2 linked regions of the Caenorhabditis elegans genome follow. The protein of the gene in region 1 interacts with the protein of each later gene in a pairwise test. Each region holds a gene or a part of one and is shown in the gene's direction. Other genes may lie near its edges.

The links.
Region 2: the proteins of C18A3.3 (region 1) and let-756 interact in a two-hybrid assay, tested with the Caenorhabditis elegans proteins (one study listed by BioGRID).

Annotation. Positions count from the first base shown.
Region 1 is NC_003280.10:5,705,954-5,723,489, forward strand, and holds C18A3.3 (putative rRNA-processing protein EBP2 homolog), read left to right. Parts: upstream 1-10,353; coding exon 10,354-10,425; intron 10,426-10,468; coding exon 10,469-10,579; intron 10,580-10,630; coding exon 10,631-10,845; intron 10,846-10,894; coding exon 10,895-11,117; intron 11,118-11,467; coding exon 11,468-11,775; intron 11,776-11,822; coding exon 11,823-11,916; 3' UTR 11,917-12,085; downstream 12,086-17,536. Other genes in the region: osta-2 (Organic solute transporter alpha-like protein 2), read left to right, coding at 4,171-4,279, 4,445-4,599, 4,650-4,888, 4,938-5,048, 5,324-5,414, 5,463-5,616, 5,982-6,151; Cytotoxic granule-associated RNA binding protein tiar-1, read right to left, coding at 6,887-7,171, 7,218-7,402, 7,481-7,901, 8,109-8,204, 8,541-8,637, 8,710-8,852; lelo-4 (Late ELOngation arrest), read left to right, coding at 8,971-9,170, 10,129-10,297; C18A3.10 (uncharacterized protein), read right to left, coding at 9,342-9,352, 9,400-9,548, 9,592-9,647; zipt-3 (Zinc/iron permease), read left to right, coding at 12,192-12,292, 12,345-12,654, 12,709-12,780, 13,162-13,476, 13,530-13,685, 13,763-13,900; damt-1 (DNA N6-methyl methyltransferase), read left to right, coding at 14,210-14,514, 14,568-14,806, 14,854-14,920, 14,969-15,271, 15,591-15,665, 15,714-15,822; Ras-related protein Rab-3, read right to left, coding at 16,370-16,450, 16,734-16,840, 16,889-17,013, 17,062-17,336. UniProt on the Caenorhabditis elegans protein: Required for the processing of the 27S pre-rRNA.
Region 2 is NC_003281.10:6,405,519-6,414,700, forward strand, and holds let-756 (Protein let-756), read left to right. Parts: upstream 1-1,610; 5' UTR 1,611-1,618; coding exon 1,619-1,708; intron 1,709-1,976; coding exon 1,977-2,048; intron 2,049-2,097; coding exon 2,098-2,144; intron 2,145-2,350; coding exon 2,351-2,747; intron 2,748-3,050; coding exon 3,051-3,116; intron 3,117-3,160; coding exon 3,161-3,267; intron 3,268-3,318; coding exon 3,319-3,447; intron 3,448-3,704; coding exon 3,705-4,074; 3' UTR 4,075-4,515; downstream 4,516-9,182. Other genes in the region: C05D11.5 (Putative hydroxypyruvate isomerase), read right to left, coding at 4,583-4,761, 4,853-4,922, 5,008-5,236, 5,368-5,610, 5,904-5,971; nas-4 (Metalloendopeptidase), read right to left, coding at 6,298-6,414, 6,918-6,956, 7,251-7,403, 7,452-7,638, 8,018-8,122, 8,167-8,358, 8,520-8,646, 8,691-8,784. UniProt on the Caenorhabditis elegans protein: Required for larval development. Probably by binding receptor egl-15, negatively regulates membrane protrusion from body wall muscles during larval development.

The DNA of each region.
Region 1 (17,536 bases):
TTATTTATAACCTGGCAACCGTTTCCAATGGAGTTTATCTTCACTTTTCAATGTTTTGTTGATTCTCTCTTTTCCGTAATTCTTCTAGAAAATTTCAAAAATCAGTCTGAAAGTCGCACTAGAATCGTACCGATATCATATTTATGCAAATTTTCGTGTCATACCCGACAGTCATATTGTTTTCGGTGTGATTGAACCGATCTTCTCATTTCTTTTCGTATCGCTCAATAACAAAAACGATAATATAAAACTAATAATATAGTGTTTCATGAAAAGAAGAAGTCGTGTCCTTCAAGAAATTTCTTTTAAAAAGTTCTCGAAATTTATTGATTTTCGGTCATTCATTTCCCATCTCACTCATCTTTTCGTTAGTTTTGATGACGAGAAAAATGAAGAGAAATTGGGCGAGATAGATCCAATTAATTTCCTTTTTTGTCGTATTTTCTCGATTGTCTAGATATTCATTTGTTATTCGCTATTCTACCTGGACAAGCTGTTCCCATATGTCTACTGATACATAAGTTTACATATTCACATTTTTTGGTTAGAATTTAAAAAGACATTTCTGATTAATTTTGTAAATTGCTAGTAAAATCTACCAAAAAACTATTTTTCTAAAAGTTTAGGATTTTTTTAAAACTATCTAGGCTATTAGACAAATACTGTACTTATTGTTTTTTTTTTTTTAAACTTTTTGACTTCTCAGAAAAGATCACTACAGGACATTTAAACACTGGACGTTTGAAAAGCTAAAAACTTCTATAATTTACATGTTTTGGGATAACAATATGTTTTTCAAATTACAGAATAGGGCTCTCCAGTCTGTAGTTACAAAGTTCCTCATTTCCTAGACTAGTATCACTCCCACATAGGCATTCTCTGTAAACTCTCATATCAGTTATTCGCACATTGATAGACAATTGTTAAACTAGATAGGTATAGAAAAAGATTCAACCAATGTTTTGCTAATTGAACACTTTTTGAAAGAACCAAAAATAATCAAGATATGGCCCGTCAAAGTACAGGTTAATAGTTACAAAGTTCCCTTTTTTCCTAAAAGATAAATTATTTCCAATTTGTTTTCTACTGCTTTGGCTTTGTAAAAAACTCGTAGAATTTCTCTAGGACCAGCTGCGGCTCTGTAACAGCCCTACAGTGAAATATAGTGACATAATAAATATTCAAGAAAAATACTCTAGCACCTGGCAAAGGTGTCGTTGTGATGGTGGCACGAAAGACAAGTACAGCTGGACAAGATATAATGTTTACAAGTTAAAGCTTGGAAAAAGTTATCAAAATTTTAAAACATTGACTTCACAAACAGCAAAAAAACATTTTTGAATTTTCCGGAAAAAGAAAAGGATAAAACTCCCGAAATATCCCACGAGTTGTGTGTTTTGACCACCATATGACCAATGAAACAATATATTCGAAAACCGATAATAACAAGAGAAATGCCCATAATTTTATTCATCACAACAGAATAACAATTTTTTTTCCGTCTAAACCATGTCTTTTTTTCAATTCTCCATCTTCTTCTTCTTCCTCTCAATCTCGTCCGTTTTCTTATGTTTCTTCAATACAAAAACAAACAAGATTTCTTCCCGTTTCAACTGACCAGTCCTCTTTTCCTCTTTCTCTCACTCGTTTTGTCTTCGTGACCCGAACCGTTTTACGTTTGACCCCCTTCGCCCTCTTTAAACTCCAAAAGTGCACAATTTCCTTTTGGTATTCCAGAGAACAAAGGCTCCGCCCATTTCCATGGCTCAAGGTGGTTAGTGGTTCAAGCGCCCCGACAAAAAAAAAGAAGAAAAGAGCACAAAAGATTTTCTTCGGTGAGTTATTTTTTTTGTCTGTCCGGAGGGATTAGTGTTTTTACTTTTCATGCTTTTTTTCAAATAAAAGTATAGTCAAAGTTAGTGGTACTGTTTTTTTAAAGACGCACATTTTTTCGCGCGTCGTCGACCGAATAATATCTTGTTTGTGGCAAGACTTGGTAACAATGACATGAACATCCAGAGAAAAATAACTGTCTTAAATTCTAGAACTTTTGGAAATTTTTTGAAAGTGAGCACTACATGCAGATACTTTTCCAAATATTCAAAAATAATTAATTTTGATCACTTTTGAGGGTTATTTACTTCTAAAAGAAGAATATAGTAATTGTAACTAGGAAACAATAAATAAATATATTCTAGGAACCTTTTTCATTGAAAGAAACGAATTTGGAAAACCTCTTTAGTTACATTTGATTCTGTTGTCAGAAGTAACTGCCAGGTGTAATCTTTGTATAGACCGATCAAACCTCATATTGACATCATCCTGTCTTCCATGTTTTCCGTTAAAATCGAGTTTTTCAAAAATTAACGAATTCGGACGATCCAGTCAACACAAATTAAGTTATTCTGTGTTGCAATTCTCTTTTGAAGAGCCTTCTCGTGTCTATTCACTTCTTCTTTTCCTTCGTTTCCTCTTCACTTTTTTGGCAGTCAAAACAACTTTTCGGCTCTTCTTCTTCTTCTATTTTTTTCGTTCGTTTCAACTCCATGAAAGAGATTCAAACTGCGGAAGAGAGAAAGAGTGAAGAGGCTCATGCAGTTGCGCAAACAGCCTCCATCCTTCCTTCCAAAATATTTCACCCCTCATTTCTGTGTTCGGCTTTTGGTCCGTGAAAAAATAAACTGAAAAGTTGACAAATGGTAAGGATATTTACAATGTCGTTTTCATGTGACTGATGTGTTTTGATGAGCGTAGTGCTTTTTATTTTGAAAAAAAATATATTAATTTAAATTTCTGAAATTTTTTCTCACAATCAGATACCATTTTATTACCTTGAAGGTGGCTTTCCATTTAGCGGGTTTTTGTATTTTGGAATTAATTTTTTCAAAGAATATTCATCTTAAAAATGTTTGCTTCTAAATCGTTCAAAATGAAAAAGATGTACAACTGTTACAATCAAAAATTCAATCATAATTTGAATTCAATTATTTAAATTCAGTTCTAATGTACTCCAAATATATTTTCCAAAAGCTTCGGATTTTTTCTGTGGGGCTTGAGAACAAGTGAGGATAATCTCTAGAAGGTGGATATTCCCGACTGAAAATCCGCTTCAAAAGCGTACTGAAATCATGACTAGTCGCTGCTATGAACAATTTTTAGACATTTTTTCTTGCTCCGCACCAAGGGTGTCAATTCCCGTTTCCCGATTTTCCCGTTGTCCCGTTTTTGGGGTGTTTTCACGGGAACGGGAATTCCCGTTTTCCCGTTTTTAAAATTTTCACGGGAACGGGAATTCCCGTTTTCCCGTTTTTAAAATTTTCACGGGAACGGGAATTCCCGCTGTCCCGTTTTTTTTATTTTCACGGGAACGGGACAATTTTCCTCATGATTTTGTTTCAAATTTTAAAGTTCTGTTTTTGAGTTTTGTACCAAGACTTAAATTCATGCAGATTAATGACTTACATGCAGTTTTTTTAATCAATTCGCCTCGAATACACTAAAATTTGCGCCAACTGTGCACTCTTTTTTTTTTAACCGCCCGTTTGTCCCGTTTTTTGAGTGTTTCAAAAAAACGGGAATTCCCGTTGTCCCGTTTTTAAAATTTTCACGGGAACGGGAATTCCCGTTGTCCCGTTTTTAAAATTTTCACGGGAACGGGAATTCCCGTTGTCCCGTTTTTAAAATTTTCACGGGAACGGGAATTCCCGTTTTCCCGTTTTTAAAATTTTCACGGGAACGGGAATTCCCGTTTTCCCGTTTTTGTAATTTTTACGGGAAATTGACACCCTTGCTCCGCACATGTGGACGACGTGTACTGGAAACTTTTAATTTAATTTCAGCTGTTCTGAAATTTGATTAAAAGCTTTTTAACATCACTTTTTAAACTTTCAGCAGAGCACATAAAATGTTCGATTCTCCTCCCTTCTCTCATACATACAACTTTATGTTTTTGATGGCCAATAGAAAAGTGAAGAATGATCAGTTTTCGGGGGGAAAATAAAATATATTCTTTCCCGTGATACTCTTTTTCTCAACAGAAAGTCTTCGTATTTTCTATTTTCTTTTTTCTTCTTTCTTTATCAAAAAAATTTGCATTTCTAGAAAAATCGCCACACCACCACGAATTGAAATCGATCGATTTGCGAACACTCAACTGAAAACAATCAAAAAATGCTGGAAATATCACCATGGGAGACGTTGGTTAAGCTCTTGACAGATTCATTACTCAATTGTACAGGAACTCATGAAGATGTACCACATGCAAAAACATTTCTTAGATGTGAGTTTTCTTTTTCCAGTGCCTACAATTGCACCTATGCCAGAATGTTGTGGTCAGAATTTATATGTTTTTTTTACTTTTGAAACTTTAGAGGCTCCAACTTAGCTAATCCGTGATTTGTGTTTAACTTTCCTTGAAAGTTTATTGAATGTAATGAATTTTCAGCGCTCACAACCACATATATTGCCTCGCTGGCCGTGGCAACTGCAGTAACCGTGGGTACAGTATGCCTTGCAGTTCTACATCTCATCTACATTCACTTCTACATCACACATTCCAGTAGACGACTGCACATTGTGCTTCTGGCATGCACTGCGCCGGTAGGTTTCTAGCTACTGTAACCCTCGAACTCAATTCGTTCTCCTTTCAGCTAGTTTCCCTACTTGCACTTGTGGCAATGTACATGCCACGTGTATGGTTTTTGTCTCATCTTCTCTCGTTTCTCTATTTTTCGTTTGCTCTCTGGGTCATCATATGTCTACTTTTACACATATTCGATGGACATCATGCCCTTGTCACGAAAATGATGCAGCGATTACAGTATGTTGAGATAGCAACACCTCCATTCTGTTGCCTATTTCCATGTCTTCCAAAAGTCCGACTGGAAGGGTTCGTTTATTAAATAGAAGAAGAATTGAAATTGAATATTTATTTACAGAAAAAAGATAAGATGGTGTGAGCTGATGGTAATGCAAGCGCCGATCGTTCGCTTATTTGCCACACTTGTCTCGCTTGTAATCTACTTTGAATATCAAGATCAGGGCCTTGTGTGAGTAATTTCAAAAACTCTAAATGGAATTGATAATCAGAAACCTGCTGCTTCCAAATATATTGTTTAAAACGTTGAAAAAAAAGAAAATGTTGTGGCTACAGTATCCACGAGAATGTTGCAATTCTCCCCCGAGTTATTCAATATTTTCTGACATATTTGCCATTAAAGCAATCTACTTATTGAAGAAAAACTGAATTTATTTTTCTAAAAGTCTGCCCATTCCTAAATTTCTAAATTTGATATCTCCATTTAATAATTATTTTTCATTTCAGCCCACTAAAAGTGCTCGACTTTATCACACTTCCATCTCTTTTGGCAGGAATCTACGGAACTCACATATTAGTCACAACGGTTTCTCGGATGGTAAGAATTAAATAAAAGCTTATTCTATAACTTTTCATTAAATTTCAGGATGAATTAATCTCGTACAGATATGTTGTTGTATTCCGTCTTCTTGATTTCTTCTTCATGGTGTTCGGATTGCAACAACCAGTTTTTGATTTTCTCGCGAGATATGGAGCATTTGGATGTGGTACTGTACTTCCAGCAATTGAGACTTCTTTCTGTGAGTTTGAATTAAATATTACTCAGATGCGAAGTTTTTGCGATTTTTGCGCCAGGTCTCGGCGCGAAAATTTTTTGTTAAATGCGAGAAGGTGTTCTCCTTTAAAGAGTACTGTAATTCCAAACTTTCGTTGCTGCGGGATTTTCATCGATTTTTCTTAGTTTTTCTCTGGAAAAGTAATAGAAAGTACACAGCAAAAAAAGTTTGAAATTACAGTACCACTCTTTAAAGGCCCACATCCTTTCGCATTTAACAAAAATTTGTCGTGTCGAGACCAGGTACCGTACTTTCGGAGTAAAAATCACAAAACTTCGCGATTGAATAAAAAAAAAATCGAATTATCATTAAATCCAATTTAATTGCAGACTGGAAGAACTTCTTCACAGTAATTGAAGCATTCTGTGTCACATTAATCAGCACTGTACTTCTACAACCATCAAAATCATCATTCTTTGACAAACATCCAAGCTGCCGATCGATGAGCTCTGCGCGGAGCACAATAACTGATGTGGACACTGACGAGTCGACCACTTGAGAATATTATCATTTTCTTCATATACAATAGCTTTTCCCCCTACTTTCTCAATCCGTGATCCTCTTCCACTTTCTATTGCATTTTCTAGTCAACTGATGTCAACTAACTTTTCATCCCTTTGTCTCACCCGTTCGTCCTGTGTGCAAAATGTCTTTGCTGGAATTTGCAACAACCGAAAATTTAAAAATCCCAAAACGTGTAGAACCTCAACCCCCAGAAATGGAAATAAACATTTTCGAACTCAATAAGACTTTACCCTCGCATTTATTATTGTGCTTCAGGAACAGGAAAAAAAACGAAAAAAGACAGAACCAGATAAGAATACGTGCCATTGCAAAATTAAGAAAACGAAACATTGTAATCTACCAGTGTAATTTAGGGGTTTGCTTGTGTGCATTTTTTCTTTTTGAATCTAGACATATTGATTAGGTGATGAAGTGGTGTGGGTGGGGAATGGACACGTAATGGAAGCAAATAAAAAAACAGAAAAAAATTTGATATAATGATTGTCAAAAGATCAACAGATTGTTTCAGAAGGGAAGTATTATAACAAATACATAGAAAAAAAGGAAATCATAAATAGAAAAGTGCGTTAGAATGCCGAGAAAGAGAAAACTGACAGAAAGGCCACAGCCGGACAAATTAAGGTATGGGTGGAACTTGGAATTAAGTTCAAATGACAAAATCCGGGGGCAATAGGGTCACATATAAAATGTTTTTAAAAAATACTGGAGTTTATTGATGTCCTCCAGAGTTCTGTTGTTGTGGAGCTCCTCCTTGTTGCTGCCAGTAGTTGGACCATTGTTGCATGAGTTGAGGATTATTGTAGTATTGGGCGTAGTATTGCCAATACTGACTGTTGGCATTGGATTGCTGTTGTCCAGGTCCTCCATGGCCTCCTCCTCCTTGACCACCTCCGTAAGCTCCGCCACCACCATATCCAGAGTACGGCTGTGAGTTTCCTCCAGACGATGAGTTTCCATAACCGTAACCATAAGATCCTCCAGGAGTTTTTCCAGTCTGAAATAAGATTTTCCTTACTAAAAAAATTAATCAAAACGCTTACGTCTCCAGTTTTTCCCCAGCTACATCTAACAAGCTGTCCTCCGACATCTTGGTTGTTCATCTGGACAATAGCCTTTGCAGCGGCATCTTTGTTGTCAAACTTCACAAATGCATATCCTTGCATCTTGAAAATGCGGACTTCGGTAATTCGTCCAAAGCTGGCGAATCCTTGGCGGATTTCATCTTCTGCAAAAAACATTATAAATTCGACGTTAGAATTTTTCAATGAAAGTATTATAAAATATTAAATTTTTGTTGACTTACCAGTAAGTGAAGCAATGTTTCCGACGTAGACTGAAGTGTTATCTCCAGAAGTTTGATTGTAGATCTCATCGTATGACTTTTCATTATAATGGCTTGGTTTCTCTTGATCTCCTGGCTTTCTTGTAGCCCAATTGGTACGGATAGTTCTTCTTCCGAGCCATTGTCCATTCATTTGCTCAATAGCACGCTCAGCTTCTTCTCTTTTCGGGTATGAAACGAAACCATAACCCTTTGACTTAGTGGTGTTAGTGTCACGGATCACTTTGGCGTCCGAAACATCTCCAAATGGTTGGAAAGCTTCGCGCAGTTTTTGGTTATCAACTTCGGACGAGAGATCTCCAACAAAAACGTGGAAATGTCTGGTAGTGTCAATTTTTGACTGCTGCTGCCCCGGCTCCACGGCCCAGTTGACTTTCATCTCCTGAAAATAACAAATTTGATTTTGAAATAGGTTTTCACATTTACTTTTTTTTATTTATGACACATAAACGAAATTTAATTTTTTAAGCAAATAAACTATATTGCTAACACTTAAAAAAATACAAATTTTACATCGGAACCCAGTGGAATCATATCGAAATTTTGTTTTTTATACAGGAGTTAATTTGTCGTTTCAAATAAAACATACTCTATCAAGAAGAAGTCGCTTGTTCATCGTCTGAAGAGCTTGGGAAGCCTGTCCATGATCAGAGAACTCAACGAACGCATATGGATCATTAGAACCCTGAAATGAAAACGTTTGACTAATACTTTGATTTCCCGGGTTTTCTCTCAATCTCTATGAAAATCTATTCAAAACGCATGTTTTCCTCTTAGTACTTAATTAAAACAACAAAAAATTCAAAAGAAAAAGGTATACACTGTCTCAGTGTCGGTGTGGATTGGTTGCCGCCTTGTGCATTTGTAGCCAGGTACCCCAATTCCTGTGAAATTAGAAAACATCATAATCAAAAAGATTCACATTTAAAAGTAAAAATAAAAGCGGATAAAAATCATACGTACCGCGAGCAAGCAAGAGTTTTCTGTAAAGATTAGTCTTGTTCCAAAGCGAAAAACTTACGTCGAAAATAACTTTGGTCTTTGTAACCGATCCTATTTGATTGAACAAAGTCGCTATAAAGTCCTCAGTGACTGTCGAATCAAGATTTCCAACATACCTGCAACAAAAGAGTAAATTAATTGACAATTTTCAACAAGAAATTCGAAACTTTCCAATGTACCCAACTTACAAAGTTCTTGGTTCATCTGAACCGTTTCCGAGATGAAATCCCTCTCTTTCGGCGAGTTTTGAATGCATTCGGGCATTGTAACCAGTATTGACGTCGTCATTGTAACCATGGTTGGAGTTTGCTGGTGGGTTGAAGAAGGACATGGCTTAAATGATAGATCCCTGTAAAAAAGAAAACGAATAAGAAGATAGAAAATAATTTATGTCGTAATATCGTAAAGAGAGATAAACGTTTAATAAATACTTAAAAAAACAAAGAAACATGCAAAAAACCAATAAAAACAGTGCGGGAACGCTGCGTTCACATTCAAAACTATGCTCGCAAGTGTCGTCTAGAGCGTTGCGGTCAGTGCGCTGCGTGTCACCCTGCGGATCTTACTCAAGCGGCAATTCAAAACAGAGTTTTCAGTTTCGAATTTCTGCAAATAATTTTAAGTTTCAGCCCGTTCCTCCGCAAAAATGGTGAGTATTTTAAAGTTTTAAAACATCAAATCAATTTAGAATTCATTCCAATCAAACAATAGGCGTAAAATATGTTTTCATTCATGTATAAACGTTGAAAATCCATTTTTAGGGTTTAGAATAGTAAGAAATATAATTTTGTCGTTGATAGTGAGAAGCTGACCACTCGTTTCATAACGTATCTGTAAAGAACATGCTTAATATTAAGAACTGGACGTCTAGTACTCACGATGAAGTATGAAAAATATAACTATCGCCAAAATTCCTAGCAAAATCAAAAATCCCACTAAGATCAGAGTTGAACAAAAGCATATTGGTCCAGAAATGCCACATATATTTTTTTCTCTATAGTAACGATAATGCTCATGCGGCATATCTCTGTAAAGTACAGATATCATAGAAATTTGATTCTAAAACTTACGTTCCATAGCTCTCAATCGTGGATACTGTAGGTGTTCGATCTTTAGACTTATTCATTTTCATTAAATTTTTCTGAAAAATTGTTTCTTATTGTACAAAAAATCGAAGAAAAATGAGTCACATCGCACATACCATTGCACTCCGACTCTTATCAATTGATAGACTAAAAACCTATTCATGTGTTTGTTCAAAGAGAAAATTCAATCTAAATAATGTTTTCTGGGGGTCTCTTCGTAAATTTTCGGGTCAATATATCTTTATGCTGCTTCCGATAATCGTTTTTCTCTTCAATTATCAGTTCAATTTAAAAAAATGAAGAACATTTGAGATTTTTTCGGGTTTGGACGCAGCATTATGAACGAGAAATCTTTTGTGGAAGAGAAATTTCAATGCGCCGCAGTTCGGCCAAGAATTTATTGGCTGTTTTTTGGGAAGACACATTACCGATATAAAATGTTTCTTGTCAAAGTTTCATGTATTAAAATACTATTTATTTTGTTAATTTTTTAGTGCAAGCTAATTATTTAAAAACTTTCAGCCAGCCGTCTTCTCATTGGTGCTCGATTCGATGTGCAATAATAATTGTTAATAATTTTTTTGTTTTCATGTATTATATTTTTCTTGTTCTTGTGAATGTTTGTAATAATAATTTGTTAATTTTTTACTATTCTTCGATCTTCAAAAGAAAACGTTTTCAGCGTTTTTAATATTTTATAATTGTGTTTTTCTAATTTTTAATGGATTTATTGATTATCGATTTCAGATGGTTCGTAAAATGAATAAGCTCGCCAAGCGGCTCGCCAGCACTTCAAAAAGTCGTCAACCGGAACCAGAAGTGAGGAAAATACTTTGTTTTAAAAAATAATTCAAAATTTCAGAGCGATTCCGACGGATCCGAATTTGACTTCGATAATGCTATCGAGGAAAAACCAATGGAAGCGATGGATATCGAAGAGGTTGAATCAGACGGCGATGACGATGAAAGAGAGGTGAGAATTACTTTTTTAAAAAGTATTTTCAAAAAAAAAAACTGATTGCAGCTCCAAGCCGCATTCGCTGCTGGTCTTCTTAAAGATGGACTCAACATTCAAGTAGCCAAAAAGCGTCCGATCATCAACAAAAGTGCTGAAATGAAAGAAAAATTGGCTGAAATCACAAAAGATCTTCCATGGGTTGAGACTCTTGAAGTGGTAACTCCTCATTCTGAAATGGACAAGAAAGTGGAAAATGACGACTTCCAAAGAGAGTTGAATTTGTAAGTTGCACGAGGGTTGTATAATTTCGAAAATTCTAATTTTTTAAAGCTATAAGCAAGCTGAAAAAGCTGTTCAAATCGCCTATCCACGTCTTCTGAATCTTGGTATCAAAGTTCTGCGACCAACAGATTACTATGCAGAGATGGCAAAGAGTGACACTCATATGCAGAAAGTTCGCAAGAGACTTCTCGGAATTCAAGAAATGAAGGAACGACAAGAAGCATTCCGCCGTATTCGTGAAGAGAAAAAGTTTGCTGTTAAGGTTCAGAAGGTAATGGTTGTTCAAAAAACCAGAAAAATTTCAGCCTAAAAATTAATTAAAATAACGGAAAAATAACTTTAATTTCTAATGGTTCGATTGGACAAACACTCAAAAATGTTTGCAAGTTGAAAGTTGCAGGATAAAATTTTTTTGCAGCAATATCCAACTTTGATACAGTTTTTGAGCACTTCGCAATTGTTTCAAACTGAAATAAAAATCTATTTCCAGATAAAACATTTTTTCTATTTTCCATCACTAAATTTAAATTTAAAATATTGGTAAAACATGCTATTTACTCTGATTCGTTTTGTAGAATTTACAAAAATAAAATCGTTGAACATGAATATCATTTTTTTCAGGAAGTTCTCGCTGCCAAGAATACAGAGAAAAAGAACCTCGCAGAAGCTGTGAAGAAGCACAAAAAGGGAATGAAACAACAATTGGAAGATATGCTGAACAACGTGAAAAGACATGGTCTTGATCAGGATGATGACGCACCGACTGGAGCATTCGGTGACCGTCTAGGAGGAAGAGGTGGTGCCGGAAGAGGTGGAGCTGGAAGAGGAGGATCGATGAGAAACGCAGGAGAACTCAAAAGAAAACTGAAATCGGATAAATTCGGTTATGGAGGAAAGAAGAAGGGAATGAAGAGAAACAACAAGGAGAGGTAAGAAGCTTCATCGGTCTTTCCTGAAATTATTTTATTTTTTTCAGCTTCAATGATCTGTTCGGAGCTCCACGCGGAGGATTCGGTGGACGTGGTCGTGGTGGTGGACGAGGAGGACGCGGTGGACGCGGAAGACGTTAAGCAAACGTTAAGCCTATTTTTATATTTACAATTTATGAACTTTTGTTACATCATTGTTGATTTTTCCTTGTTATGGATTTCGATTTTCAAAATTTTGTTCTTACAGTTATCCCATTTTTATTGTTGATCTTCTGATTTTAGTAATGTCCAATAAAATAATTTGTTGTTGCAAGCATTGAATAACTTCCAAATCGTTTTTTAATCGATCTTGTATTTTTTAAAAAGTCCAACCAAATCAAAATCGCTAAGCAGATTTTTCAGAAAATGCACTAAAAATGGAACAATTTTTGTTTATGACAACATCAGCTTTTGCTGTTTTCATTCTTCTTCTGATCTCAACATCGATACCGTACACTTTTCTAAGGACATGTTGTGTGTCAGTTTAAATTCCAAAATAACAAATGAAAACTAGAAATTTTTTTTTTCAGAAACGCTTCAAAAACATCAATCTCATTCCTGGGATGTGCTTCATGCGGTGTCTTCATTGCCACGTGTTTCCTCGGACTTGTCCCTCATGTCAGACATCAAGAAATGCATTTAAGAGGGAATCAGACGATAGTTGATAGTTATGGATGGATTCCATCGACTGATCAATTAGTTATTATTGGATTCCTGATAATTTTGATAACTGAGCAAATCATTCACGGAATCGGACATTCAATCGGAAATGGCCATTCACATTCAGGACACAGCCCACTGGCAACAAGTGATTCAATTAAAATGAACAAGTTCCACGATGTAAGCTTTTGTTTTTTGAATTTCCCGGGTTTAATATTTAAAAAAAGTTTTCAGGAGGAAGAAGGAGAGGATCACGTTCCACTTGTTGCAATGGATGATGATGCAGATGAAATTATTTTCCGACAGGTACATACCTTAAAAATAAGAAAATCGATCAAAAGTTATATTTGCTTTATTCTACTCAAACCTCAAAAATGGTCAAAAGAGCCTAATTTTAGAAAAAATCTTAAGCTTTGCCAAATTTTCCGTGTTGTAGCAAACGGAAATTGTTTTTATAAAAAAAATATTGTTCTGTTTTGCATATCATTATCGTGGATCAAGGAAAAAAAATTACATAGTAGAACAAAAACTAAATAAATATCAATTGCCATCCACTATGACACGGAAAAGAGGTTTTAGCTGAAATTGGAAAATATTTTGAAAAATGCATTTTTGTGTCATTTTGAGTACAGTAAAAAAAACACCAAGAAGCATTATTTCTTCAAATTTCATTTGTAACGTTTGTAGAACACGAGCCCTCATCACCATGCACCTTCATCAGGACATTGTCGAACTGCCCCCGGTGGATCAATGAACATTCGTGTCTGGTTTCTTCTTCTTGGAATGTCAGTTCATTCATTCTTCGAAGGAGTTGCTCTCGGCGTTCAGAATGATTCAAACGCGTTTTGGCAGATTTTGATTGCCGTCCTTTTTCATGAAGTGCTGTGTTGTGTCTCGTATGGAGTTCAACTGGCAAAGCATAATGCTTCAAGAAAGTATGCATGGACTTCATCAATCTTCTTGTCAGCTACAATTCCAGCTGGAATGATTCTCGCTACAACGGTATATTTTTTATCAACTCGATATTTTCTAAATTTTAAATTTGAAAAGTTTAGATTGACGGAATCGAAAACGACATGTGGCAAAGAATTGGAAGATATTGGCTTGAAGGATTAGCAGCAGGAACTTTTGTACACGTGGCTCTTGTTGAGCTTCTTCCAATGGAGTTGCATTCAGATGACAGCGGAGAAGGAGGTCATGGACATAGTCATGTTAGTTTTTTTTAATATTTTATTATTTCAATTATTTCAAAAACTATTATTTCAAAAACTGATTTCCCAATTTTCAGAATGTTATTGCTGACACAACTCATTCACACTCAAATCATTCTTCTTCTCATTGGATTTCACTCGTCAAGTCGCTATTCGTGGCCGCTGGAATCGGAATATTTGTAATTATAAAATCACTCATTGGTGAGCACCATTGAGCTCATCTTAATTTATCTTATTTTCAATTATTATCTTTTTTGTTCATATTTATTCATCATTTCTTCAATTGTAGTCACTTTAATTCATGTGTTGTGAGCATTCTCCCCAAAGTTCCCCCAATCCATTGATGCATAATTTTGAAATTCATCGTTCTGATCTCGGTCTTTTTTTTTAAATAATAAAAATTTGCATTTTTCGAATTCCCTTTCAGTATGTCTACAGATTCTGGGTCTTTGGGAAATACATTCATCACCTGTTAATGAGCTTTTTTTTGGCAGAACATGAGGTTTTAGATGTCAATAGTTCACATGGACACAGAATTTGCGATTCTTGATGAAGAGAAATACTACGATTCAGTCTTCAAAGAACTAAATCTGAAAACTCGCTCAGAATTATATGAGATCAGCTCAAAATTTATGCCCGATTCGCAATTCGAAGCCATCAAGCGTCGCGGAATTTCAAATCGAAAAAGAAAAATTAAAGAAACTTCAGAAAATTCAAATAGGATGGAACAAATGGCATTAAAGATTAAAAATGTTGGCACTGAATTAAAAATTTTTAAGAAAAAATCAATCTTGGACAATAATTTGAAATCCAGAAAAGCTGCGGAAACGTTAGTGGATGAAAAATGCTGTAAACTAAATATCATACATTTATATATTTCAGAGCGTTGAACGTGTCAATCCCCAGTGCTTCTGCATCTTCAGAGCAAATAATCGAGTTCCAGAAATCAGAATCCTTGAGTAATTTAATGTCGAATGGAATGATCAACAATTGGGTACGGTGCTCTGGCGACAAGCCGGGTATCATTGAAAATTCAGACGGAACAAAATTCTATATACCTCCTAAATCTACATTTCATGTTGGAGATGTGAAGGATATTGAACAGTATTCAAGAGCACATGGTTAGCTTTCAAATTCCTGTTTGAAATGTTAAAGTATTAGATTCCAGATCTCCTCTTCGACTTGATCATTGCCGATCCACCATGGTTCAGTAAATCAGTGAAACGAAAACGAACGTGCGTTTTGAAATTTTCAAGAAACTCCACAGATGCATTTATTTCCAGATATCAAATGGACGAAGAAGTTCTAGATTGTCTCGATATTCCTGTCATATTAACTCATGATGCTCTGATTGCTTTCTGGATCACAAATCGGATAGGAATTGAGGAAGAAATGATAGAAAGATTCGATAAATGGGGAATGGAAGTTGTTGCCACTTGGAAATTGCTGAAAATCACAACACAAGGAGATCCAGTTTATGATTTTGATAACCAAAAACATAAAGTTCCATTTGAATCACTGATGTTGGCGAAGAAAAAGGATTCGATGAGAAAGTTTGAGTTGCCGGAGAATTTTGTTTTTGCCAGGTGGCGTTTTATTAACTTTTTGCAAAAATTGATTTTTTATCACAAACCGAGATCTTGGGTCCTGCGACGGAAGAAATGTTTCAGTTACCGTAACCCAATTTTCTTTACATTTATCACTATTTTCTCAATCATTTTTTGTTTTTTTTTCAAAGTCAAATCAGTAAAATTACTAAAAGTGCAACTCTACAGTACTTGTGGGGGTACGGAAGGGTGAAAAGTTTCGCTCGTGCTAGGACACTATGCCATGATTAGAATCAAAAATCACACTTTTTAGGGAATCGATAAAATAGTAGAAACATCCAATAAAATACAATTTCAGCGTTCCAATGTCAGTACACTCTCACAAACCTCCATTGCTCGATCTTCTCCGTCATTTTGGAATCGAATTCACAGAGTCAGATTTTGAAATTTGGGATTCAAAATATAATAATTGAAATTACAGACCTCTGGAACTCTTCGCCCGATCTCTTCTTCCATCAACCCACAGTGTTGGTTACGAACCATTCCTTCTACAATCTGAACATGTTTTCACTCGAAATATCTCTTTGTAATAAATAATTTATTATGCCTCGAAAATAATTTCCTCCAAAATCAATCTTTCAGCGGGTGGGTGTAATCATTGGGAACTGGGAAGTCACTAGGAAATAAGGAAATAGAGAAATACAATAAATAAAATAATAATAATAATAGGCGACTATGATTAGTTAGAAAACACAGCTCTGGGAATTGTTTGGAAGTGTTGAGAGAAATTGTTGATTTTTTACAAATGGGGAATATGATTGAACGTTGGAATAAGTTAAAATATTAATAAAAATAGCGCTGAATGAAAACTTAATAAGTGACAGTGAAAAGGATTTGAAAAGATAATTAAACCAACTACGCCCTAAAATAAAATAAGTTAAATTTAAAAAAAAACTTACTTTCCAAAAAATCATAGAAATTCGATTTATAAGTTAATTTACGATCCATATATCTGGTGCCTAGATGTTGAGAGAGGGAAAACTGAGAGCTACGCGCTTTTAGAAAATTAATATTATTGCGTTTGGAATTTGGGAAAATTTTGAGTTTTTATAGATAGTATAATAGAACGTAGAATTTTTAGCAATTGCATTGCTGTTGAGCAGGCTTTTGGGTCGGATTCGCTTCGAGCTTCTGTCCTTTTGGCTGTTGCTGTGGGTCCTGAAAAAACTACTTTTAATAAGATTTTTATTAAGAGGAAGTGTTTTATAAACTAACATAAATTGTAAATTATAATTTGTTTACAAAAATTGCAATGTTTTTCAAAAAAAGATAATGCCCCGGGTTTTGAAGCGAACTAAAATTTTCAGATGCAGGAAATCATGAGGCCCATGAGACCGTTAGAATATAAATCTCTATCATGCCATTTTCTATATACATAAAATTTACGTTTTTTTTTCAAAAATAAAAACAAGTTAAAAAATCTACAATTCCAAAACCATACCTTATCCAAACTCTCTGCCATCTTATCACAAATAATCTCCACCAACTTCTCAAAAACTGCCTTTACATTAATGTTCTCCTTGGCTGATGTTTCGAAGAATTCCAAACCTAAAATTAAATTCGTTTTTCAGCACAATTTTTTCTCAAAATACTTACCAAGTTGATCAGCAAGTTGGCGTCCCCTATCCATAGATACAACTCTTTCAGAGTCCATATCACATTTATTTCCAACCAAAACAACTTGAGCATTTTCCCATGAGTATGTCTTGATTTGAGTGCACCTGAAATGAATCAAGATACATATTTTCTTAAAACCATGCTCAACATACCAATCCTGAACACTATTAAAAGACTCTTCATTAGTGATGTCATACATCAGAATGAATCCCATTGCTCCACGATAGTAGGCGGTGGTGATGGTACGGTACCTCTCCTGTCCGGCGGTATCCCAGATTTGAAGTTTGACTCGTTTGTCTCCACGGAACACAGTTTTCACTTTGAAATCGATTCCGACAGTAGAGACGAAGGCAGAAGTGAATGAATCATCACAGTAACGGAAGAGGAATGATGTTTTTCCAACTGATGAATTTCCGATTATCAGGAGCTGAAAAAATTAGGATAAAATTTTAGGATTGGGCAATTTTTGCGGTTTCTTATCTATTCAAAGGCGAAGTATTGTCTGCTGGAATTTTTATAAATACTCTCATAACATTCCAAAAAAAAGTAAACATTAAAATTGAACCCTTCGAAGATTGGAATTTTTGTTGAATTTGGAGTATTGCTATCATTTCCAAAAATGTTCAA
Region 2 (9,182 bases), on another chromosome or scaffold:
TCGATTTCTTTCTTTTTCCTACATCAACTATTACTCATATTTTTCTTGATCTTTCTTCTGTCATATGATTTTTCGGGTACTATAGGATTTTAGTTTTCAAGTTTTCACACTCAGACATTTAAATATATTTCTAGATTCTCATAAATGGGTCTTGCCACGACTGTTCCGTATACCTATTCATGAAATACCGTATTCGGTTTATGCTTTTTTTCAATTAAGCATTTTTTAACATGTTTTCATTTTTCTAACAGTAAGACAATATAAATTTACTTCATTCCAGTATTCCAAAAAAACACTTATTTTTTTCCAAACTTACTTTTGTCAAACTAATCATCTACTTTTCACATATCCATCTCCACATACGTGAAAATGTGAATAATTCTTAACTTACCATGGAATTCGTAATTTCATGTTTGCTATAAATTTGAACCATATTATTATGTGTTATTTCTGCTCATTTTTTATCGAACGTCATTCTTAGTTCCTCAGAATAGTATCGCTTTCTACTATTTTTCCAAATGCATCATACTTTATTAGCTCAAATTTCATTCATTTTCGGAAGAGTATTGTTTGCGGGGGATGTTTTTTATTTACAAATATGACACTATTCTGGGAATCTCTACAAATTGGCATTTTTCCAAAATGGTATTTTTCTGTTATAGCCTAGAGATCCTACACATTTTGATGCTCTTTTCATTTATTTTGATCTATTTTTCCTCCTTTTTTGAAGTTTTTTTTTGTGTTTTTATTTTGAACAAATGTTATGAACAACTGTGTAAATATGATCTCAAAACTTTGTCGTCACTTGTGAAAATTTGTGATGATTCAATCGGTTCAAATCACTTTGCCAAAACTACATATGTTTTCTCGGAAAAAAAAACCGTTGTTGAAATTTTCCACAGATACACAAAAACTCCTAAATGCAGAGCCTACACCTGCCTCTTACCTACTCTAAAATCTGTTGAGTGAACCATAAGACATTTAAAGTTGAGCAACAACTTTTTTGGGAAAAATAAACATTTTGGAAATTTGCAAGCAAAATATGTGGCTTTTCACAAAAACTAGATTACAAAAAATACTTTCATATTTCTCAAAATTCTTAATCACTTTCTTATAAAAAATTTGTAATGTTATAAATTTTTGAACTTGTTGTATGATTATCGGATTTTAAATTAGTAGTATACTACTTTTTTCCAAATATAAAGATAGAATATTAATAATCTTCTTTCTTTTTAAAGTTTTTATTCAAAGATACTTCTAATGCCCCCGAACAAACTCTAAACTCTATTTTGCATCTTATTGAACTTGGTCATTGTGATCTGTTTCTATTTATCTGTTTTCTCAATAGACTCTCTTTCATTGTTGCATTCCTTCATTCCAATCTTACCGTTCTATTTGTTTTTTTTTCATCACAATTTTCCATTTTGCAAGAAAGCCTGAGCCTTCTCCCAACTGAGCCTGAGTGCAAACTCGTGCCAGAAAAGGAGTGGAGGCGGAGGTGAAGATTGTTTGCTCCCGAATCTCTGTACTTGCCCTTTTTCTCATTTATTGACTCTTACTTCCTCGTTCTTCAATATTTCCAAATCATTACAATTTCTTCAAATGTTCAGATGAATATATGGCCGTTCCTGCCGCCTCATCGATAGTTTCATACGGAGGAGCAGCCACTTCTAACTTTTTGACAACACCAGTTACACCTTTTCTTGCGGTAAGTTTACTTCTTTTAACCATAAATGTTTAATTTTTTAATTTTTTTTTGAATTAAGAACGTTTGGAAGTTCAAGCTATATGTACTCAAAATGTGAAAAAACCAAAAATTGAAATATTCATACAGTAACTTAAGAATCTGACACCTCTATGTTTTTTGGAAAAAATTATAGCACACTAGAAAATCTAGGATAATGTTTTTTTCTCCCACAAATTGATTACTTTTTCAAAGTTAAGATATGAACTGAAACTTAGAAATAAATTTTCAGGGATTCTATAATTCAAATTTTGTAACCGATCGTATAAATTCATGTGCTCCGTATCGAGTGGACCGGATCAGAGTGAGTTTGAAATTAGAGATACAGTTGTAAACTTGAAAATGGTTTCCAGAAACAACTACAAGATGAAGAAGAAAATGGGTATCCACCTGCTGATGAGTGAGTTTTTAAGCTTTTCAAACTTTTTGTAACAAGGGATCTCGGATTTTTTACTCAATTCTTGAAATTTGTTTTCTTTCACAGGGCAACGACAATTTATCAAAAACAACAAAAAACATTTTTTTAATCGAAGTGATCATGATCAAAAATTAAAACTTGCCAATGATTTCAAAGGCATTGCGTTTTTGACTAATTTCTACTTCCAGCCGTCGCCGCGGAGCCCTGTTTTGTCGTTCGGGAACCTGGTTGGAGATGCTTCCTATCGAAAATCCTGACGATGGATCGACACGTGTCAAAGTTCATGGAACAAAAGAGGAGAGTTCCAAATTCAGTATAGTGGAGTTTGTGTCAGTGGCAATGAGTCTTGTATCGATTCGAGGAGTTGAAACAAAGAATTTCATTTGTATGGATCCATCGGGGAAATTATATGCAACACCATCATCTAATTATTCAACAGAATGCGTTTTTCTCGAAGAAATGATGGAAAATTATTACAATTTATATGCGTCTTGTGCTTATGGTGACAGGTTTAATCCCTGGTATATTGAATTACGACGGAGTGGAAAACCAAGGAGAGGTCCTAATTCAAAAAAACGTCGGAAAGTAAGTGAAATATATACTCATTCTGCTTTGACAGCTCGTATCGGAGATATTATTACATTTTAGAAAAATAATTTTTAAAACCCGATTAAAGTATATTTTCGAGCATATGTTCGCAAGAAAATGTGGTTTTTACCAAAAATTAGAAGCTCGAGGTCTGGAACGAGCGAATATTTCCTGATATGTACATTAACTTTTCTCTCGTTTCAATAAGTTCCTACCGTACTCGCGGCTACTGTAGCTAGATACATAAAGAAATCCGTGTGCACTTTTTTTTGATTGAAATACATTATCCGTATATTTCAGGCGAGCCATTTTCTAGTTGTTCATCACGATCTTGACCGGTTACGAAGTCCCGTTCCAAATGGAAATGTGAGTTTTTTCGAGACATACAGTTTCAACTTTTTGATTTTCAGGACGTAACCGATCTGGTAGTTGCTTCACTCTTTCACCAACCTCCCAGTCATCCATTATTCCGACAGCAGACCGTTACAAAACCACCAAATCCACATCGTATTTCAAAGTAAGCATTTATATCAAAAGTATCAGATTAGAGCTAATGAAATTTTTGTAGTTTACGAGCAAAAGTGGAAATGACGAACCAAGCTGAGAAGCAAAGATTATTAGAAGAAAAGAAAAGACGAAGAGAAAAGAAGAAACGAAGGAGAGAAGATCGATTAAGAAAAGAGGAACAAATTAGAGAGTTAGTTATTATTCTGAGAAAAAGAAAGCGCAGAGAACTGAGAATTATTATGAAAGTATTGAAAAATAGCAGAACATTTTTTTGGTTTTTAAGATTTGAAGCCAGACTGAAATGGCTTTTTTTGGGTATCGTTCCGTTTCAGTTTTTGAGCGGCAAAAATAAATTCAATGCCAGGTAGCACAAAACTATTTGAAACATTTATGATGATTCCACGTGTGACTTTCCTAGATCTATACCAATTATCAAACGTATTTCAGAGCCCGTCGCCAAGAGCTCAAAAGTCTTCGTGAAGAAGAACTCCGACGTCGTTATCAACAACAACAGCAGCAACAAGCATCTACTCAAACTCGGTACAATCGTCCTCAAAATCCAGCGAATCCTTATCCAACGTATCGACCTCTTCCAACAAGATCAACAGTACAATCTCCACGACCTGCATACAATCCATATTGGCAGTCTCCAGTGACACAGGCTCCTCATCACAATTCCCATCACCATCATCATCACCATCCACGTGTCAGCTCTTCATCAGACCCTCAACAACGTCATCAATCACAACAACACTATCTAGCTCAGACAGTGTCAAATCCAAACCGTCAGAATGTTAACTATCAACGATACCCGTGAACGATCTCTCTTCTTATGATACCCCGCACAGCATCTATCATCATGATCTTCTCATTTTCTTTCCATTTCTTCCTGCCTTCTTTTGCTTAATTAATTTTTTATCAGGGCTGATTTTGAGAAGAAGCGCAGTACATTGTCGTGAAGTTCGTAAGGCACGGTGCTTTAGAAATGAAACCCTTTCTTGTGAATATTGAAACACACAACGAATTTTCTAATTTTCTATTTCTACCTTCATAATATTTCTGTATTAGACTCTTAAAATCACACCATGCTCTAAATACGACAATTTGCGTACACTACTGTTTTTCTTCCCAAGCTCGCCCCTTTTAAGTATGTTTTCCAAGTCTCTCTAAAACACCCCCAACTCGCCACGTGTCTCATTCCATACTCACGGGTTTTGTATTTTGAACATACTGTAACTTACTATTATGAATAATATATATTTGAAAAATATGTATTGTTATTTTAAAAAAATTATCAATGGAGCGAATTTACAAAGACAGGTAATTCAAAAACTTAGAGACATGTTCTCAATCCAATTGAATGAAGGCTTTGCATCCAAATATTCAGCACCAATAACCCATGATGGATTGATCGAACGGATTTCATCGAAAATAAAATGATAATCGATTTCTCCGCGTGTATCACATGCACCTCTATTTGGAACTTGAGCCACTTGAATATAGCCTGAAAAACTCGAAAAAAATCGACGAATGAAAAAGTAATTTCAGAAAAATAGGGCGTAAGCTTATTTTCATCATCATCCTTTTCAACTAACCAATATAATCTTTGAGCTTTCTCATAATTGCTCCAATTTGTCCGTTGATTTGTTGAGCGTGGAATGTGTCCTGAAAAATTACAGTTACTTTTCGAATTCTTATTTTCAAAAAAAATTGTGCATAAAATTCGATGTTTTATGTTCTATTGACTTACATATTGAATTTTCAAATTATTCGATTGATCCATTTGGATCACATCCATTGCATCTTCATAATTATTTAAGTGATATCCAGGAATAGTGTACTTATTGATTGGTTCAATGAGGCATATCAACTTGTGCTCCTTGAACTTTTCGGCGGCAAAACGCACATTTTCAGAATAGGTCTGATGAGCATTTTCCAAGTCATCATCCGATTTCGGAATTCCAGCCATTACGTGAACTCTGAAATTGTTTAGATTACTGTAGTTTGCACCGTTTGAAGTATTAATAAGATTTGAAAGACACTACGTACTCAATACATCACATCCAATGCACATTGTTCCTAATTTGAAATCCCTCTTTCCTCAACTGACCTACAACATCCAAGAGCCTTCGCATACTCAATCGCAGTATCCAAACTCTTTCTAAACTCCTTTTTCGCCGATTTCAAAGAAGCCAATCCTCTAAATCCGTCATCCCAATTCCCGGGCGGTGCATTGATCAAAGTATGTTTAAGATGATACTCATCAGCTGCTTCACGAAGTTTTTCGGCTGGCTCCGTGTAAGGAATGCTCACTTCGACAAGCTTGAAACCCGCGGAGGCGGCTGCTCCGTATCTGAAAAAAATTGTGTGCAAAATTTAGAAGAAGCATGTAAAGTCTTTTTTTTGACAATTTTTGCCGCGAAATTACGGTAGCCGATCTCAAAGCCAATTTTAAATGTGCGGATTTCAAGAGTACTGTAGTAATGAAAATTCGAATTCCAACACAGAGAATTTTTAGTTGCAATTGGAATTTTTAATGCAAGAAATATCGGGAAGTGACAACTACAGTAATCCTCAAAGGCGCAACATCGCTAAATTTTCAAATATCCGATAGCAAAACTAAAAAATGAAATTCCGGAGACAAACCTTTGCAGCAATGGCAAATTAGTGAACAACATGTTCAGATTGGCGGCAACTCGATTCGTCCCACTCATGTCTTTTTGATCGAAATGAACTTATTTTCACACGTAAATAAACTATTTATATTTGTGTATTTCTGTATATGATAACAAGACTCCAAAATAACAGAGATGGCGTGGTTTATCGTAAATCGACAATTGAGAGAGATAATAAGAAGAAGAAGAGACGCATAGAGGGTGAGAGCAAAGTTCAGTTTTGTGTAAATTGTCCTCGAGAACAATGAAACAAGATTCAATTAATTGAAAAAGTATAAGAACCCGTCTAGAATATATTTGAAAAGTATTAAGAGTTTGGGGAATCTGAAGCTTAATGTTACAGTAAAACAGAGTACTAAGCCAAATTATTTGCACACTGAGCACGATTTTCTGCAAATAATTGCTCGAACCTCTCGTCGTTGGCAATATGAGAAAAGTGACCAAAACCGGCATCTCCATGTTAGATCTTCACAGGGTTCCGTCTGAAAATAAATAGAACAGGAAACAGAATAGTACATATTGGGTCGGTGTACCTCACAACCTTGATACATGAAATGCGAAAATTTTAACTTTCAAAAAAAATTGACTTTCAAACAGGCGGCCTTTATAGGCAAGCATGAGGTGTGCGCGCCTACATCAGGCGTAGACGGCATTGAAGTCAAGCTTAACTAGGTTAGAAAGAATTCTGACACTATAATTGACAATATTAATTTACTTCAGTTGAAAATTAATTTTCTTAATGTTTCCTATTTATTTTTCTTTCAATATTTGTGCAAAGTATTAAATTGTGAAGATAATTTATTAGATTGATTAGACACACAACACATTTAAAAATACACACATACAGAACCAAATAAGAATTGGCAAAAAGCAACTTGAGAAGAGAGATCAAATCCCGTTAAAACACACACAGAGAAACTGAAAAAGACACACAAGAACACATAAGTTAACCAAAAATTCGAATCATCCGACGATTGTTAGTTACTTGGTTAGATGTTGATAGAGGCAATCCCGCGTATCGCGACTGAAAAATTTTTTGTTTTGTGTGGAAAGAGATATATTTTTTGCACTACGATACTTATTGGTTTTCAGAGAGTAGGCGGAGCCAAATAACATCGGAGTACAGTTGCGAAAATACAGTAACGTCCGTCATATGAAATGAACGGGGTACTGTAATAAGTGCGAGTGCGAAGACAATGGTGAATCACACGCACTGCACACAAAAACTAAGGATACACAGCAAAAGCGCTTTAACGCTACCGGCATTAGTATGATAGAAATGATAAAAGAGATTGATGATGGGTAGGTGTGCTCAAACCTGAGGATGATTGACAATTGAATTTGAGTTGATTTGATTGTTGTTGTTATTATTATTGTTACCGGAGACTCCTGGACAATTGTATAGCTTATTGATCTTTCTAACGTCAATGTCAGAAAACTTGACACGCTGACCCATACGTTCGGACCCAGACTAAAATATTAAATTATATCTTCTTGTAATCTGCAGAGTTTGTCTTACCTTCTTTGGCACCAATGTCTTCTTTCCGGATCCACTGAATGCGTATGGTCCGTAATGCATAATGGAAGCGTAGTCATATGGTTCATCCAAATGGGAAATCACATTCAAGTTGTATTTCTCAAATTGATCATCAGCGCCGTTCATCACATTCTGCCAGACTACGTCGATATAACTGTCACGGTCTTGTCTGGAAGTCGAGTGAAATCAGAAAAAATATTCAAGGCAGAACACGCACTTCTGTGCAAGTTTCCGAAGTTCGGCAGAGATTTTTTTTTTTCAAGACAAAGTTTTCAAAGTTTGACAGAAAAATTATATTGTGTTAATTTCCCAGTTAAATTCTTGAATTAATCAATTCAGGAAAAAAACAAATCTACATGCCAAAGGGCAGGCAAGTAGGCATAAAAAGGTTTGGGGTAGGCACGCACTTCTGAAACAAATGTCCCAGATTTTCAGTACTGCCAGAAGTTGGTAATAGGGTTTCCTGTTCATTTTAATGAACTTCTCTCCCATTTCTCAAGGCAACATTTTTACCAATTCCATGTGAGATATGGCTATATTCTCTTTACCTGCTCTGCTCATGGAAGAACCCAACAGCATGCATCAGCTCGTGAACAATTGTTCCAACTTGAATACATCCAGAATCCAAAGACACTGGCTGCTTTCCTCCGGTTCTAAATTTTTCTAGTTTGTCACATTTCTCTCAGTTACTACTCACTTTCCAACCAAACTGTAACATCCTTCGTCTGGATGAATCCATAGATAATCGTGATGCTTCGATGGATCTCTGGCAACGAATTTGACACATGTTTTTGTATGATATTCGTTCATTGCGTTGGCAATCACACTTCTTGCATAGGAACCGTATTGTGAAGACAGGGTGTATGGAATCTCGTTATTTGGCCAACGTCTGAATTGAGTTGACATTATACTACTGTAGTGAACATGAAAAATCGGTAATGTCAATTTTACTTTGTCAACCTCTAGAGGATTTGCCACAATGTAGCTCCAAAAACTTGAAATTTTCAACTTGAAAGTTTATACTTTAAATATGGAACTAAACATTCACACCTGTATATTTGTTTAATCGCATTTCGTCCCAACTTATTGTTCTCCTCCACAAATTTCTTAGGGCTTTCCAACAAAATATCTCCCTCACTGTAGTTTCCAATAGTTGGATCGTCTTTTACTTTTATTCCTGGAAAGTTGGAAATTTATATTAAACAGTTAAAAAGTTCTTACCAAGAGTCTGCAAATCGTATCTCTGGTGTAAATCACTATGGAAATCAGCATCATTCAGTGTCGTTTCGGTTTGTGGTACAGATGTATCTATTACCTAAAAACAATAAATTGGTACAAATTTAGTTGTGAAAATAGGAAAATAATTTTAGAAAATGCGGAAATGAACACAATGTTTTGTGAGTGAGAACTTGGGTTTTAACTGTACAAACAGAAAATATAAAGCCTCAAAAAACCCTTAGTTTTGTGTACTTTTACGCACCACTAGAGATGGTTCACTGGTCATCGAATACTGGTCAAATAGGTTGAAAAATGTTGAGTTTTTAGGGCTATGGCTCATTTTCTGAAAATGCAAAGTTTGACGATTCGAAGTGGTCTGGGAATTAGGTTGTAAACTACAGTAATCCTTAATGGCGTGCAAATTAAAGTGACTATTTCATAACCTGCCAGACTATAAAATCTCTCAAAAAAAGCTTCTTAAAATTCGGATTACTG